Linked DNA regions of Rhinolophus ferrumequinum. The protein of the gene in region 2 purifies or fractionates together with the protein of the main gene of each other region. This does not show direct contact. Links are inferred from orthologs where the notes say so. Each region holds a gene or a part of one and is shown on either strand. Other genes may lie near its edges.

The links. Proteins that work in one complex are often made in the same cells at the same time.
Region 1: the proteins of SLAMF6 (region 2) and SH2D1A purify together in Homo sapiens (co-immunoprecipitation; 5 studies listed by BioGRID and IntAct, with this or other methods). This does not show direct contact. The link is inferred for Rhinolophus ferrumequinum from reciprocal best matches to the Homo sapiens genes SLAMF6 and SH2D1A.

The regions. Positions count from the first base shown.
Region 1 is NC_046284.1:32,677,778-32,684,943, reverse strand, and holds the start of SH2D1A (SH2 domain-containing protein 1A), read left to right. Parts: upstream 1-4,148; 5' UTR 4,149-4,235; coding exon 4,236-4,372; intron 4,373-7,166.
Region 2 is NC_046305.1:28,054,040-28,061,722, forward strand, and holds the start of SLAMF6 (SLAM family member 6), read left to right. Parts: upstream 1-4,676; 5' UTR 4,677-4,756; coding exon 4,757-4,805; intron 4,806-7,683. UniProt on the Homo sapiens protein: Self-ligand receptor of the signaling lymphocytic activation molecule (SLAM) family.

The sequences.
Region 1 (7,166 bases), on a different chromosome or scaffold from region 2:
TACATCTAGTACCTATCTGACACCATACATAGTTATTACCATATTATTGACTTTATTCCCTATGCTGTATTTTATATCCCAATTACTATTTGGTAACTACCAATCTGTAACTCTTAATCCCTTCCCCTCTTCACCCATCTCCCCCATCCTTACTCCTATCTGGCAACCATCAAAATGTTCTCTGTTATCTATGATTTTGTTTCTGTTTTGTTTGTTCATTTATTTTGGCTTTTAGATTCCACATATAAGTGAAATAATGTAATATTTGTCTTTCTCTCTCTGATATATTTCACTCAGCATAAACCCACTAGGCCCATCCATGTTTTTTACAGATGGCCAGATTTCATTCTTTTTATGGTTGAGCAACATTCCATTGTATATATGTACCACTTCTTCTTTATCCATTCATCTAATGATGGACATTTAAGTTGCTTCCATATTTTGGCTGTTGTAAATAATGCTGCAATGAACATAGGAAAGCACATGTCCCTTTAAACTAATGTTTTTGTTTCCTCGGATAAATTCCCAAAAGTGGAATTACTACGCTCTTCTATGCCTCTTGTTATAGCCTTTATTTTAAAGTCTATTTTGTTTGGTATAAGTATTGCTACTTCAGTTTTGTTTTTTGTTTTTTGTTTTTGTTTTGTTTTGCTTTGTTTTTATTTCCATTTTCATGAATGTCTTTTTCCATCCCTTCACTTTCAGTCTGTGTGTGTCTTTAGATATGAAGCGAGTCTCTTATAGATAGCATATGTATGTATGGGTCTTGTTTTCTTCTCCATTCAGCCACCCTATGTCTTTTGATTGGAGCATTTAATCCATTTACATATAAAGTAATTGTTGATAGATATGTTCTTATTGCCATTTTATAATTCATATTTTAAATCTTTTTTTTTCCTTCTTTATAAAGTTTCTTTAACAATATTTGTAATACTGGTTTGGCGGTGATGACTCCTTTAGCTTTTTCTTGTCTGGGAAGCTCTTTATCTTTTGATGCTAAATGAAAGCTTTGCTAGGTAATCATGACTGTAGGTCCTTGCTTTTCATCGCTTTGAATATTTAATGCCAATCCTGTCTGGCCTACAAGTTTCTGCTGAGAAATCAGCTGACAGTCTTATGAGAGCTCCCTTGTAACTGCCTTTCTCTTGCTGCTTTTAAGATTCTCTCTTTGTCTTTATCCTTTGGCATTTTAATTATGATGTGTCTTGGTGTGGGCTTCTTTGGGTACATCTTGCTTGGGATTCTCTATACTTTCTGAGCTTGCATGTCTAGTTCCTTCACCATGTTAGAGAAGTTTTCTGTCATTATGTCTTCAAATAAGTTTTTAATTCCTTGCTTTCTCTCCTCCTTCTGGTACCCCTATGATGTGAATGCTGGTATGCTTGATGTTGTCCCAGAGATCCCTTAAACTATCCTAATTTTCTGGATTATTTTTGCTATTCTGATGGGCTGCTTTCTGCTACCTTATCTTCCAAATTTCTGACTCGATCCTCTGTTTCATCTAATCTACTGTTGATTCCCTCTAATGTGTTCTTCATTTCCGTTTTTGTATTCTTCATTTCTGAAGAATTCTGGTTCTTTTTTATTATTTCTATCTCCATTTTTATGTTTCCTATCTCTTTGTTAAAGTTCTCACTGAGATCACTGAACATCCTTATAACCAGTATTTTGAACTCTGCATCTGGTAGGTTGCTTGTCTCCATTTTGTTTAGTTCTCTATCTGGAGCTTTGTTCTGTTTTTCATTTGGGACATATTTCTTTGTCTCCCCATTTTGGCTGCCTCCCTGCATTTGTTTCTATGTATTAGGTAGGGCTACTATGTCTCCCAATCTTAGTAGAATGTCCTTATGTAGCAGGTGTCATGTGGGGCCCAGTGGTACCGTCTCCCTGGTCTACTGAGCTGAGTGCTCCATGTGTGTTCCTTGTGTGGGTTGTGTGTGCCCTCCTGTTGTAGTTGAGCCTTGGGTGATGTTGGCATATCAATGGGAGGGATTGAACTTCAGGCTGATTAGTTGTGAGAACTGGCCATGACTACAGTGGAGGAGCTGTTATGGAGGCTGACACTACAGGGCAGGATTCTCTTTAGTGGAGCTCTGGTACTTGCCAAGTCTTCCCTTTGAGTGTGTTGTTTATGGAGGTGGTTGGGTGGTGCTCTAGTGTGGTCTGAAGCTGGCAACTGGGTGTGTTGATTCTGGGGCCTCTTGGAGTGGCTGTGCTGCAGGCCAAGTTCAGTCACTGCCTGTGCCTTACCTGGGGCCACTTGGCATGAGCTACAAAGTAATCTGAAGATAATTGCCACTTGTACTTGGCTTGGAAGTTCCTGGGAGAGGCTAAGCTGTAAAGAAAGGCTGGGTGCTGCTGGGCTTGGGGATGTTTAACAAGAGGTATGAGGCACCATGAGGCCAGATGCTCCTTATTTGCAGTTTGTGAATGTTTGAGAGATTTGAGGAAAGTTTACAGCATGAGGCAAGACAGGCTGTTTGTATGGTGTGGGGACAGAGCCAGGATTGCAGTTTCCAGGCTCTCAGTATCACATGGAAAGGTGCTGGCTCAGGTAATAAATGGCTATCAACTGTGATTGGATGGCCATCAGCTGTGGCTAGTTGGTGGTCAGCTATAACCAGTGAGCCATTGGCCACTAATATAACTGCTGTGGCTACACTAGCAGAAAGTCGGGGGCCTAGCAAGAGGATGGTGGCCGAGCTGGCAAGCGCATATTGCAGTTAGCACGGCAGAGTGCAATTAGCACTCACCATGTCCTGTGTTCTTATGTGGGGAGCAAGACTTCGAGACCCCACCTGACACCTTGCATGACATATCGAAAAGCCACTGGAAGTGGCTTGGGTGAGCCTGAAAGTTGGGTAGGGAGGAGTCTCAGGGAAACACCAGGGCAGGGCCAACGGTAGGTGTTAGCCAGGTTGTTGGAGACTCAGGTATAGCAGCTGCCTGTGTCTGCATTCTGAGAGGTAGGAGTACTCAACAAAGAAACAATGGTTTCTGCCAGCACTTCTCTCTGGGAGAAAGTTGGTCCTCCAGCTCTTGCCCTGAAGCCAGACAATTCATTTCCTCCCTCTATGTCCCTGAATCCTTTCAAACTGCTGCCATAGTGCTGGAGCTCAAAGGGAGTGATTCTGTCAATGAGCAAATCCATATGCATTTCCTTTAAGAGGAACACCTGGGACTCCAGCTGCCCTCTGTCTCACTTAGCCACAGTCTACCCTTGTTTTCACAGCCAGAAGTTAAGGTGACTTCTCTTCCAGGCACTGTAACCCTGGGTTGGGGGGCCTGACCTGGGGCTGGGACCCCTCACTTCTCACAGGGGACCTATGCAGTGGAGATATTTATCTCAATTTTTAACTGCCACACGTGGGTTGGGACCAGCTCATTTTATTTCTCCATTCCTTGTATCAGTCTCAACGTGACGTATTTTGTATATCCTTAATTATAGGACTTCTCTTCAACTGGATTTCAGGTGATTCTCAATGATGGTTATTCTGTAGTTTAGTTGTAATTTTGAGGTGCTCATGGCAGGATGTGAGCACAATATTTACCTACTCCACCCCATCTTGACCAGTTACCAGACATAGACTGATTTTTGAATGTCAACCAGCACTTTGGGAACTTGGACAAGAAAGGAGAAAAAATCAGTATTTGCCGCAGGGCCCTCCTGGTTGTGCTCAATAGTGATTACACAGTGATAGTAGTGACAGCTTCTGAGTTTTTGTCTCAGAGATTTTGGTACTTTCATTCTCTGTCAGTGTTTTTCTGACCCCCATGAAGGACATGTACAACTTGCCTCTATCATCATCTTATTTGGGAACTAGTTAAGCTGTCATCCTGCTAGCCTCTGGGAAAACTGCTAGAATCAAAGTATTACCAAGCATTCCTCTGTGTACACTTTGGTAGTACAGCCCAAATCTTGCAAGGACCTTCTTCCCATTTTCTTCCCCTCTCCACATGAAACCTCTGTTGTGCGGGTGGGGCAGGTAGGGGATCGAACACTGTGGCAATAATCAAGCTGCTAAATTGCTGAGCTGGTTTTAATTGAAGTGTGAGAAGGAGGTTTTAAGGCAGGTAGACAACATCCTGTTGTTCTGGTGCTCCTCTCTCTCTTTTGCACATCTGGCCTAACTGGGAGTCAGGTGGCTGACTCGTGCATAGTAGCAGCAGCAGGAGCAGCAGCAGCATCCCTTCTGCTGTCCCACGCCTCAGCCCGCCCAAGAGTCCACCAGGCCATGGATGCAGTGGCTGTGTATCATGGCAAAATCAGCCGGGAGACAGGGGAGAAACTCCTGCTTGCCACCGGTCTAGATGGCAGCTATTTGCTGAGGGACAGCGAAAGTGTCCCAGGCGTGTACTGCCTGTGTGTGCTGTGAGTATGTCGCGGTGGCTGGGTCTAGGGACTGCAGAGGGTGAGCACTGGGAGTGAGCATGAGTGGCAGGGCCAGGCAATGTGTGGGCCACAGGAGCTGGTTGCAGCCTCTTCCACTGCCCATCCGATGGCCCCTAAGGCTTATTTAGGTCCAGCCCAGGATTATGGTGGACCATGCTTTAGCTTAGTCCCCTCACTGGGGATTTCACTCTCCAGAAAGTCCTCCCCAGTAACTTTTGAGGGCAGTGAATGCCACTTTGGGTGGGCAAACACAGCCTAGAATTTACCTTTGCTCCGAGAAACACCCAGGCTCCTGATTTCCATTTTGACCTCTAGTAGAGGCCGGCAAGGTAGAGCCCGGGGATGGTGGAGTGGCCAGATTTGGGGCCAGCAGCTCCTGACAAAAGAAAAGGCTTCTCTACACCTCTCTTTAAATGTATTTGAAGGTGTCATCCCAAAGGAAGACCATCAAATTCAGGGAGGGGAAGAACACTAAGAAACTTAATACATTAAGAATGCAATGTCAGTTAGGTAGGAGGTTGAGAGGAGAATGTTTGTGAGTAAAACTGCCTTTCTGGATCTGCTTATTTAGCTTCCTTTAGAGGAGTTGTGTGTGGGACAGGACCCTTTCTTAATAAAAGTTAGGACAGACAATAGTTGTAAAGGACCTGGAGGGAAAACACCTTTGTTATGAATCACTTTTGCCCTTTATCTAACCATGTTTTTGTCTAACGTCCTATTTTTAATCAGATGCAACTTCATCTTTGCTCCAGAGCTCCAGAGTCAGACAGACCTGACACTTAATCCTGTGCTAGTCTAATGTTAGGTTTGTGACCTCAGCAATTAACCTCTCAGTCTCTCAGTTTTCTTATCCATAAAATAATATTACTACCTACCTCATAGGATTGTGAGGATTAAATGCCATAATGCAGGTAAAACTTTGGCACTGGACCTGAGAGATAGTAAATGTTCAGTAAATGTAAGCTATTATTATTATTATATTCCTTTTTTTTCCCAGTCAATTTCTTTTAGTACTCATGGGGCATTTCTAAGGAAGTAACTAGCTCAATTACATTTTGTCAGCATGATAAAAAAAACACCCATGGAAACAGCTGCTTGTACAGTAGGTTCTAGACAGAAACAAAATAAGGGAAAATGCTTGGTAGTAATTTTGGTAACTAATGATGTACTGCAAGCTTTTGAAGTACCTTCTGGGTCAGTAAAGAAAGATTACACTGAGGCTGATAATAGAGGATTTTCATTGTTTACTTTATTTTTTTAATGGTCAAGCCACGCTTGTGGTAACTCTCAGGACATGCTAAATACATTTATTATAAAGGCTTTAAAGGAAATAAATGGAAGCTGTTGAATTTCTTAGGCTCAGAGCTTTATGTTTTGCTTATATTATTGTTTTTCCCAAGCAGAAACTGGGGAAGGTCAATGAAAGCCAAGTAGTATTCTTAGGCCTTGTTATTATCAAAAGATGATGGAGGAGTGAGTGGGTCATGAAAGGGGCTTCTTTAGGAAAGCTGACAAAGGAGGGCCCCTTAAGTTAGAGGTAAAAAATAAGGTACAAAAAAAGCCTGGGCAAGGGAGGGAGAACAGAGGACAGTGTGTAGCAAGATGCACCTCAGGCTTCAACCACACTGTCATCTTTGTTGTTTCTCAAGCTTGCCAAGCATGCTTCCCCCTTAGGGTCTTCGTCCTTACTGTTGCTCTTGCTTCTTTCCTCAGAGGGGACTTTCTTGATCACCTCATCTAAAATAAGTACCCTCTCCTTGTCCTTGTTATATTCTATTTTTTCTTCAAGGAGCTTTAAACTATCTGAGATTTGTTTGTTTACTTATTTATTGCTGGGCTCTCCTGCTAAAATGTAATCTCCATGAAAGTAGGGACATTGTCACCTGCAGCAGGAACATAGCCTGGCACATAAAAAGCATCATAAAGCACATAATAGTCACTCAATATATATTTTTGAATTAATGAATGAACTGTCAAAGCAAATGCTGTTCTTTACTACAAAGAGCTATGGACTGATAATCAGGCCAGCATGTGGACTCTGGAGAAGTCACTCAACTTCTCTGGGTCTTGGTTTCCATATTTGTAAAGTAGCTGTCTGCCCTGCCTTCTGCATAAGATTGCTGTTGGTAAAATATGCAACATATAAGGATAACTTTAGTCTTTTGCCCATTTAGGCCAAGATCACATATGGAATTAATTTAGGCAGGTGGGGAATTCTAAAACATTTAAGTTTTCGCCCAAAGTGAATCTTGCATAAATGCAGTTTTTATGACTCTTTGTTCTCCATGCAAACTTCCTTATGAAGTAGCATAAAATAGCAGGCAAATTAGGAGTCCCCCGAGAATCTTTTGATGGACACACTGGGGCCTCCAAGTCTTAGATGGTGACTGTTAGACCATGCTGCAGAAGCAAGACACACAGATACATTGCCTTTTATAAGTTCTCAACTTTTTTGAGCCAAAGGTCCCTTTTGATAAACATAAACCTTTCATTCCCCCATTTCAGTACTATGCTGTAGTAACAAAATCACATTTTATTTTGAAATAAACCATGTACTCATTTTAAACCAAAATGTATATGCTTATGATGTGCAGCAGGAATAACAATGTAAATGGTATCATAGATACATGAACAAGAAGGTATAGCTAACAAACATGCACTGATTATAGGGTTTGCTCAGAATAGTTTCTCATTCTATCTTTTGTTTACTCGCATTATCCAAGGTTTGGTTGAGCTTCAGTTTCTGTATTTTATTGTAGAAATAACACATTTC
Region 2 (7,683 bases):
GTAAAGATCATGTAAGGTGCCAGATAGGCATTGGACTTATCAGAGGGATTACGTCATAGACTGTGTAGATGCCTCACCAATGCACTATACACGTGAAGCTGAAGTAGAATAATATTGAATGTCAACTACAACTAAATATATAGGTGTAGATAGTCACAAGATGTGGAACACAACATAGGGAAGATAGTCAATGGTATTGTAACAGCTATATAAGATGTCAGGAGGTCGTAGCTCAAGGGATGGGTTTCACTTTATGAGGAGTTTAAATGTCTAACTATTGTGTTGCTTTGTACACCTGAAACGAATTTTAAAAAGTGTATAAAAAAGTTTATAACTAGAAAAACTTGTTTGATCAGAGAAAAAAATGAAAAGGATATTCAGTGATATAATTTCCAAAAATATGCCAAGCCTTGGTGGTATTATGAACAAGTTTTACCACATTCAGTGAAAGAATAATTCCTATATAATTTTAACTGTTCCAAAGCATAGAAAACAGTGGGAAATTTCAAAATTCATTGAGCACTGACTCCAAACTAAATGACAATGATTCCCCAAAAAGAAAAATATAGACCAGGGATCAGCAAACTATAGCCTGTGGACAAATCCCACCTACCAAGTGTTTCTATATAGCCTACAGGCTAAGAATAGTTATTACAACTTTAAAAGGTTGAAAAACACTCTAAAGAAGAATAATATTTGGTGATATGTGAAAATTATATGAAATTCAAATTTCACTGTTTATAAATAAAATTTTATTGAAACACACTCAACACCTATTCACTCATGTATTGACTATGGCTGCTTTCATGCTACAACAGCAAAGTTGAATGATTACAATGGAAACTGTATGGCCCACAAAGTCTAAAATATTCACTACTTTGACCTTTACAGAAAAAATTTGTCAACTCCTGGTAGACCAACCTCACTTATAAAAGTTAAAACTTCTAATTTAAATTTTAGCAAATTGAACCAAGCAATGCATTAAACATAAAAAAAAAGAAAGAAAGAAAGAAAGAAAGAAAGAAAGAAAGAAAGAAAGAAAGAAAGAAAGAAAGAAAGAAAGAAAGAAAGAAAGAAGGAAAAGAAGGAAAGAAGGAAGGAAGGAAGGAAGGAAGGAAGGAAGGAAGGAAGGAAGGAAGGAAGGAAGGAAGGAAGGAAGGAAGGAAGAAATCAAGTATGGTTTATCTCCAGAATATAAGGGTTATTTATCTTTAAGAAGTCTTCAATTGTAATTTATTGTTTAAACACATTAAAGGGGAGAATAACACAATCATCTTGACAGATTCCAAAAAAATGTATTTGGTAAAATTCAACACTCATGACTGGTTAGAAAAAAAAAGTAGCAAGCTTAAATTAGAAGGTCAGTTGATGTTTCAGCTCATGTCTGATTAGAAAAACTGAAACCCTGTTAAGTATTGCAAATTCAGCAAATTGAATGTAGGAAATTGAATACAAATGTAATGGAAGAATTTGAGGAGTAAAACAGAGGAGATGAGCCTACTACACAATTAGTAATACCAGGAAGTTGTTACCACTCCTTGGGGAATTTTGCCTTTGGAACCAATGCTGCCACATTGCAGGATCCCACCAAAACCATAAGAATCTCGGAGCCTAAAGTCACTCACCACTGCTATTGCCACCACTGGAGCCACACTGCCAAGACTTCTGGAATGACTACTGGAAATGCATTGCCAGATCAGGAACCCTGGAGCTGCACTCATTTTCCATTATTGCTAACACTGCTAAGACATCAGAAATCAAGGTGAAGAAAAAACATAATTTCTCCCTTCCTCCTACCTTCCAGTCTTTCACGAGTACCACCTGTTGATAAAACTACAAAACAATATCCCTAATAAATATTGATGCAAAATTCCTCAACAAAAATTAGCAAACCAAATTCAGCAGCATAGGAAAATTATACAACATGACCAATTGGATTTATTCCTGGAATGCAAGGATGGTTCAACATACAAAAACCAATCTGTGTAATAGAACACATTAACAAAATAAAGGAGGCGGGGATGCATGATCATCTCAATTAATGCAGAAAAAGCACTTGATAACAGTTTTCATGATTAAAAATATTCAAAATTAGGAATACAACATTTTGAAGCCACTTATTCATTTGCTAGGGCTCCAATAACAAACTACCACAGACTGGGTGGCTTAAACAACAGAAATTTATTTTTTCAAGATTCTGGAGGCTATAAGTCTGGAATCAAGGTGTCCACAAAGTTGGTTTTATTCTAAGGCCTCTCTCTTTGGCTTGTAGAAAGCCGCCTTCTCCCTGGGTCTTCACATTGTCTTCTCGCTGTGTGTGTCTGTGTTCTAATCTCCTCTTCTTATAAGGAAACCAGTCACATTGGATTAGGGCCTGTCTATATGACCTTATTTTAAATTAATTACCTCTTTAAAGATCTTATCTTTAAATACAGTCACATTCTTGAATAATGGGGATTAGCACTTCAATATATGAATTTGGGGGGACACATTTCAGCCTATATTTCTGCCCTCTGCACCATCAAAACCCATGTCCTTCTCACAAGCAAAATACATTCACCCCTACTTTAACAGCCCCCCTCCAAATGTTAACCCATTCTGACATCAACTCTAATCCAAAATCTCATCTAAATATTATCTAAGTTAGGTATGAGGGAAACTCAAGTAAGGATTCATCCTGAGGGAAGACTCTTCTCCAGCTGTGAAACCAGAAAAGTTATATGCTTCCAAAATACAATGGTGGGATAAACAAAGGATAGACATTTCCACTCCAAAAAGGAGAAATAGAAAAGAGCAAAAGGTCACAGGTCACAAGCAAGTCCAAAACCCAGCAAGGCAGATTCTATTAGATTTTAAGACTGGAGAACAATCCTCTTTGGCTCAGTGCTCTGTCCTCTGGGTCCACCTGGAACTGGAGAAAAAATAGTCCTGACCTCTGAACCTGTGCCCTAGGACCCATAGTGGAAGTACCAGCCCTGCCAACTTCTGAAAAGTTGAGAGGTCATTTTTCTCTTTTCTTAAAGGATAACACATGTTTGCAGCTGGATACTCTTTTGGCCTGTCCTGTATTAAGACATCCAATGGCCTTCCTTCATCTAGTCCTGTCTCTGTCCTCTTTAGCACAAGCTAATAGCATTTCTGCTAGTATAAAAAAATGTATAGGCATGAACTACCAATGCAACCCACACTCAACTTGCCAAGAGATAGCATAAGGTTCTACAATTTAAGGGTTCAGTCCTACAAGACTGCCCCCACCCTCCCCATACTTCAGATGTCAATTGTAAGTGCAGGTTGTCACCTGGGCTTCTTACCAACAGGCTATAGATTAGAGGTTCCTACAACTTCTTGCTTGGGTTTGATTAATTTGCTAGGGCAGTTCAAAGAACTCAGAAAAATATTTCAGTTACTGGATCACTGGTTTATTATGAAAGGATATAACTTAGAAACCATCAGATGGAAGAGATGCATAGGGCAAGGCATGGGGAAAGGGTGAGGAGCTTCCATGTGCTCTCCAAGGACAGCACTCTCCCCAGATCACCATGTGTTAACAAATCCAGAAGCTCCCTGAACCCTGTCCTTTTGGTTTTTTATGGAGGCTTCATTTCATATACACAACCAATTAAATCACTGGCCACTCGGTACTGATTCAACCTCCAGCCCCTCTCCCCACCTTGGAGGTGAGGAGGTGGGGCTGAAAGTTCCAATCCTCTAATCACTTGATTGGTTCCACTGCCAACCTTAGGTGCAGTCTAAAAGTTACCTCATTAACATATACAAAGTTGGGGTAAAAAGGGGCTTGTTATAAATAATAAGACATCCATTTCATCTTTATGGCTCTGAAGATATTTCAGGAACTGAAAACAAGAGACCAAATAGTAAAACAAAAGATTCCCCCCATTGCTCAGGAAAAAAAGTAAATAGAATAATTTAAAAAAATAAAATTAGGACTGTTATGATGCATGCCTGCGTAGAGCACCCCTGGAAGCTGTTAGAATGAGTTTTGTGTGAGCATATTGAATGAGCAAGAGTAACTCTATTTTGGACATGCACAGAGAACTTAGCAGACAATGCCCAGGGAGCTGCCTGGTTGCCCTAGTAATTGGGTGCAACAAGCTGCATTCCTAAAGGTCTGCTACTGAAGATAAGAGGACGTCAGGGTCGCAGGCTGGCTGCTCTGATAAGGTGACGTCATTAAGGCACTCATTGCTGCATAAGAACTGAAGACTTTTGCAGCTCAGAGAGCGGGTCTCGACTAAGAGGTGACCACGCTGCTCCTCTGCTCCAAAAGCCTGCTTACTCCATCAGACTCAGATTGAACCTCTGCCAGAACGACCTCCAGGACCAGCCACCCTTCCTGGCTCCACCAGGATTTTTACTGACTTTGGGACTGGTCCATTACTCTGTTTTACCCAATTATTGTATTACTCTGTGTGCTCTACTGTTTGGTGTATTGATGATTGATGTTTGAGTAAAGAGCATATTGAAAGGCATTTAAGATCTTGCGTGCTCTGTTCTTCACTCTTGCCGCAGCTACCGTAGAAGGCTCAATCAGTGCCAGGTAGATCCTGGGGGTCTGAGAGTCTCTTGGGGGTTAGTCCTGACTTGCAGGAAGAGACTGCAGCACGGACTGTGAGCCTAGCAGTCACTTATGACAACACTTCTGACAGGAAGGGGAAGTTTGAGTAAGAAGCACTTTCAACAGAGAACGAACTTGACTGCCTTAAAGTCTTCAGCACCAGTCTCCAGTGCTAACAACATGATTTGGCTGTTCCAGTTTCTCACGCTTGTCTTCTGCGTTGGCCCAGGTAAATGCTGAAATGGACCCATACAGTCACTGAGTGACTCCCAGATTTTGTTTAGCTTACTCAGTCTAAATCACCTATATATGTCTGTCTGTCTCTCTGCCGGGTGCAGCTCACAGTCATGCTTGATAAGCTGCTATGTTCTCTCCAACTTTAATTGTGTCTGTATTTAAGGGAATTTTCTGCTGGAACATGGGAAATGAGCTTTTCTAAGACAAGACTCTTTGGGGTTTATTAACAGCATGTTTTAATAAGGAGTACTAAGATTAGGAAAATAAATCCTTTTACCAAATTAGCTACTATCTTGCTGTATAACCTCAAGTACATTACTTATTCCTCCTGGGCTTCACTACCCTCATTTAAAGTATTGAAAATCTGTGGGATCAGTTTAGCCAAAATTTTGGGGTCCAACAGAAAACACCAGAAATAGTTCTCTTAGTTTCAGCTTGCTGTGAAAAAATAAGTTCTCTAGCTCTCCCGTCCTTTAATACAAATTGGGGTTAGTTGGTCTGGCAGTACTTTATCTGAGAGAAAGGAATTAGCTGATCCTGCCTGCTTCTCATTCCCTGCTGTTTATTACAAGGAAAACATGAAGGTGAATGTCATGTTTGGGGCACAAAAGTGGTCCATCGAGGCCAAAGTATAGGATTCAGGGACAGATGGGGTAGGAAGCAAGACAGAAAAGCTAGGCCAGAACTAGCCCAGGGAAGCAGATACAAACAGTTAATATTCACTGAGTGTTTATTCTGTTTCAGGCACTGGGCCAAGTATTATACACACGTTATACATATAAGCCTCATGTCTTATGAGTCTGTACTATTATTATCCCCATTTTTACATGAGAAATTCAGATAATTTAAATAACTTGCCCAAATTTCATCAGCCAGCAGATGGCAAGCACTTGTGATAGTTCTGAGAAACACTGACAGTTGAACAAACATGGCAGCAGCACAAGAGAAAGGACAGAAGCAAGAGTCACCATAGACATAGAATTAACTAGATTAATTGGCATTGGCAATGAGGGGGGAGGTGAATTCATTAAGTTATCCAATAAATATTCATTGAGCACTTACTAATTCCTGCCATTGTTCCAGTTTCTGGGGATACATTATAAACAAAGCAGGCAAAAATTCCTGCCCTCATAGAGTTAACATTTTAGCAGGGGAGACAAATTATAAACAAGATAAATAAGTGAAATAGTATATTGTAGAGTGATAAATGATAAGGAGGAAAGAAATCAAGAACAGAAAGGGGTTGGTGCAGGATGGAGGGCAGTGAAATTTCAGACTGGGTAACCAAAGAAGGTGACAGAGTTGAAGGGATGAAGTAGCAGACAAGGAGAGGAAGGTGAGTTCAATTTTGGACCTACGAATTTTAAGGCATCAGTATGAAATCCATGAAGAGATTTCCTGAAAGCAGCTTGAAATAGGACTAGAGGTAGGACTGAAGCTGGAGGCTTGGAAGTCACAACAAAGAAATAATAAGTGAAGCTCAAGAGAAAAGTGAAAAGAGGACAGAACCTTTGGAAATATGTATAAGATGCAGAAAGTGGAATAATTCATTTATTCGATAATTCATTTATTCAAGAGCCATTTCCTGGCCTGGGAACAAAGATCCACATCTTTGTCTCATTTTTACCTCCTTACAAAATTGAACCCACCTGTAGAATCAAATATTCTGAAGGTCCTCTGATTAAAATTCCTCTGCTTCTCCCCATTTCCCTTGATACTCTTCATAGGACTCTATGAAACATATTGTTCCTATCCCCACTTTAAGGAAGAGGAAAGAAGGCACAGACTCTTAAGTAACTTGCTTAATGTCACATACGGAGGTGACACTGTGGGTGGTGTAGGAAAACAAACATATTTGAATGTGTTTGCAGTTGTTTTGAGGCCCACGAGAAAAGCAGTGATTGCCAGATTTGGAAATCAAGGAGCCTGGCTCCAGAGTCTGTGCTTATAACCGCTTCACTATTCCACTTAGTTTACACACAGCTACATATTTACATAAATGTATATATAATTATTAAAATGTGATTGCTAGGAAGAAAATAAGTTACCATGGGAGAGAAAAACAAGGGGATCTGCTTTGGATGGGGGTAATGTGGATTTTCTGGAAAGGTAGCATATCATCTGATATTTAAAGGATGATGTGCGAACTCAAGTGGGGGGAGCCTCATGAGGAAGCATCCAAGGCAGAGGGAATCACGTGTGCAAAGACCCTGATGCAGGGAAGAGTTTGCAGCTATTAAGGAAGGGAAAGAAAACCACTGTGGCAAGAGTGTGGCACACAAAAAAATCAATATTGAAAACAAGCATGAAGGAAGACAACTCACACCAGCCCACATTCTCTCAAGTGGGTTGAGCACTATAACTTGCTCCTTTTAGAAAATTTAGCTGGAAAGATAAACCATATTGAGAAATAATCCTAATAAATATAACTAGAATCAGGTATCATCATGCCCTGGGACAAATGAATCTCATTTGTCTCTCCATTATTCTTTCTAGATGAGAGCTTGTCAAATGTTAATATGCATATGAATTACTAGGGAATTTCATTATAATGCTGATTCCGGGATGGAGACTAGGATTCTGCATTTATTACAAGCTCCCAAGTAAAGCCAGTGCTGCTCCATGGACTACACTTTGAGTAGCAAGGTTGTAGATTTCATGGGATTAAGTCATATTGGGTCTGGAGGAAAGAGGAAATGGGAAGTAATTCTCTGATTGGTTTTGCAAGAAGCAGATACACATATTCTGCTGTCCACGAGAAAACAGTGGTTGGAAATGGAGGCAGAGCCAATACACATGGGCTAGCCAAATGATTCTGAGGTTGTGAGTTAAAAATTTGCAGGCTCTTCTGCTAAGAGATTGTATCCAAT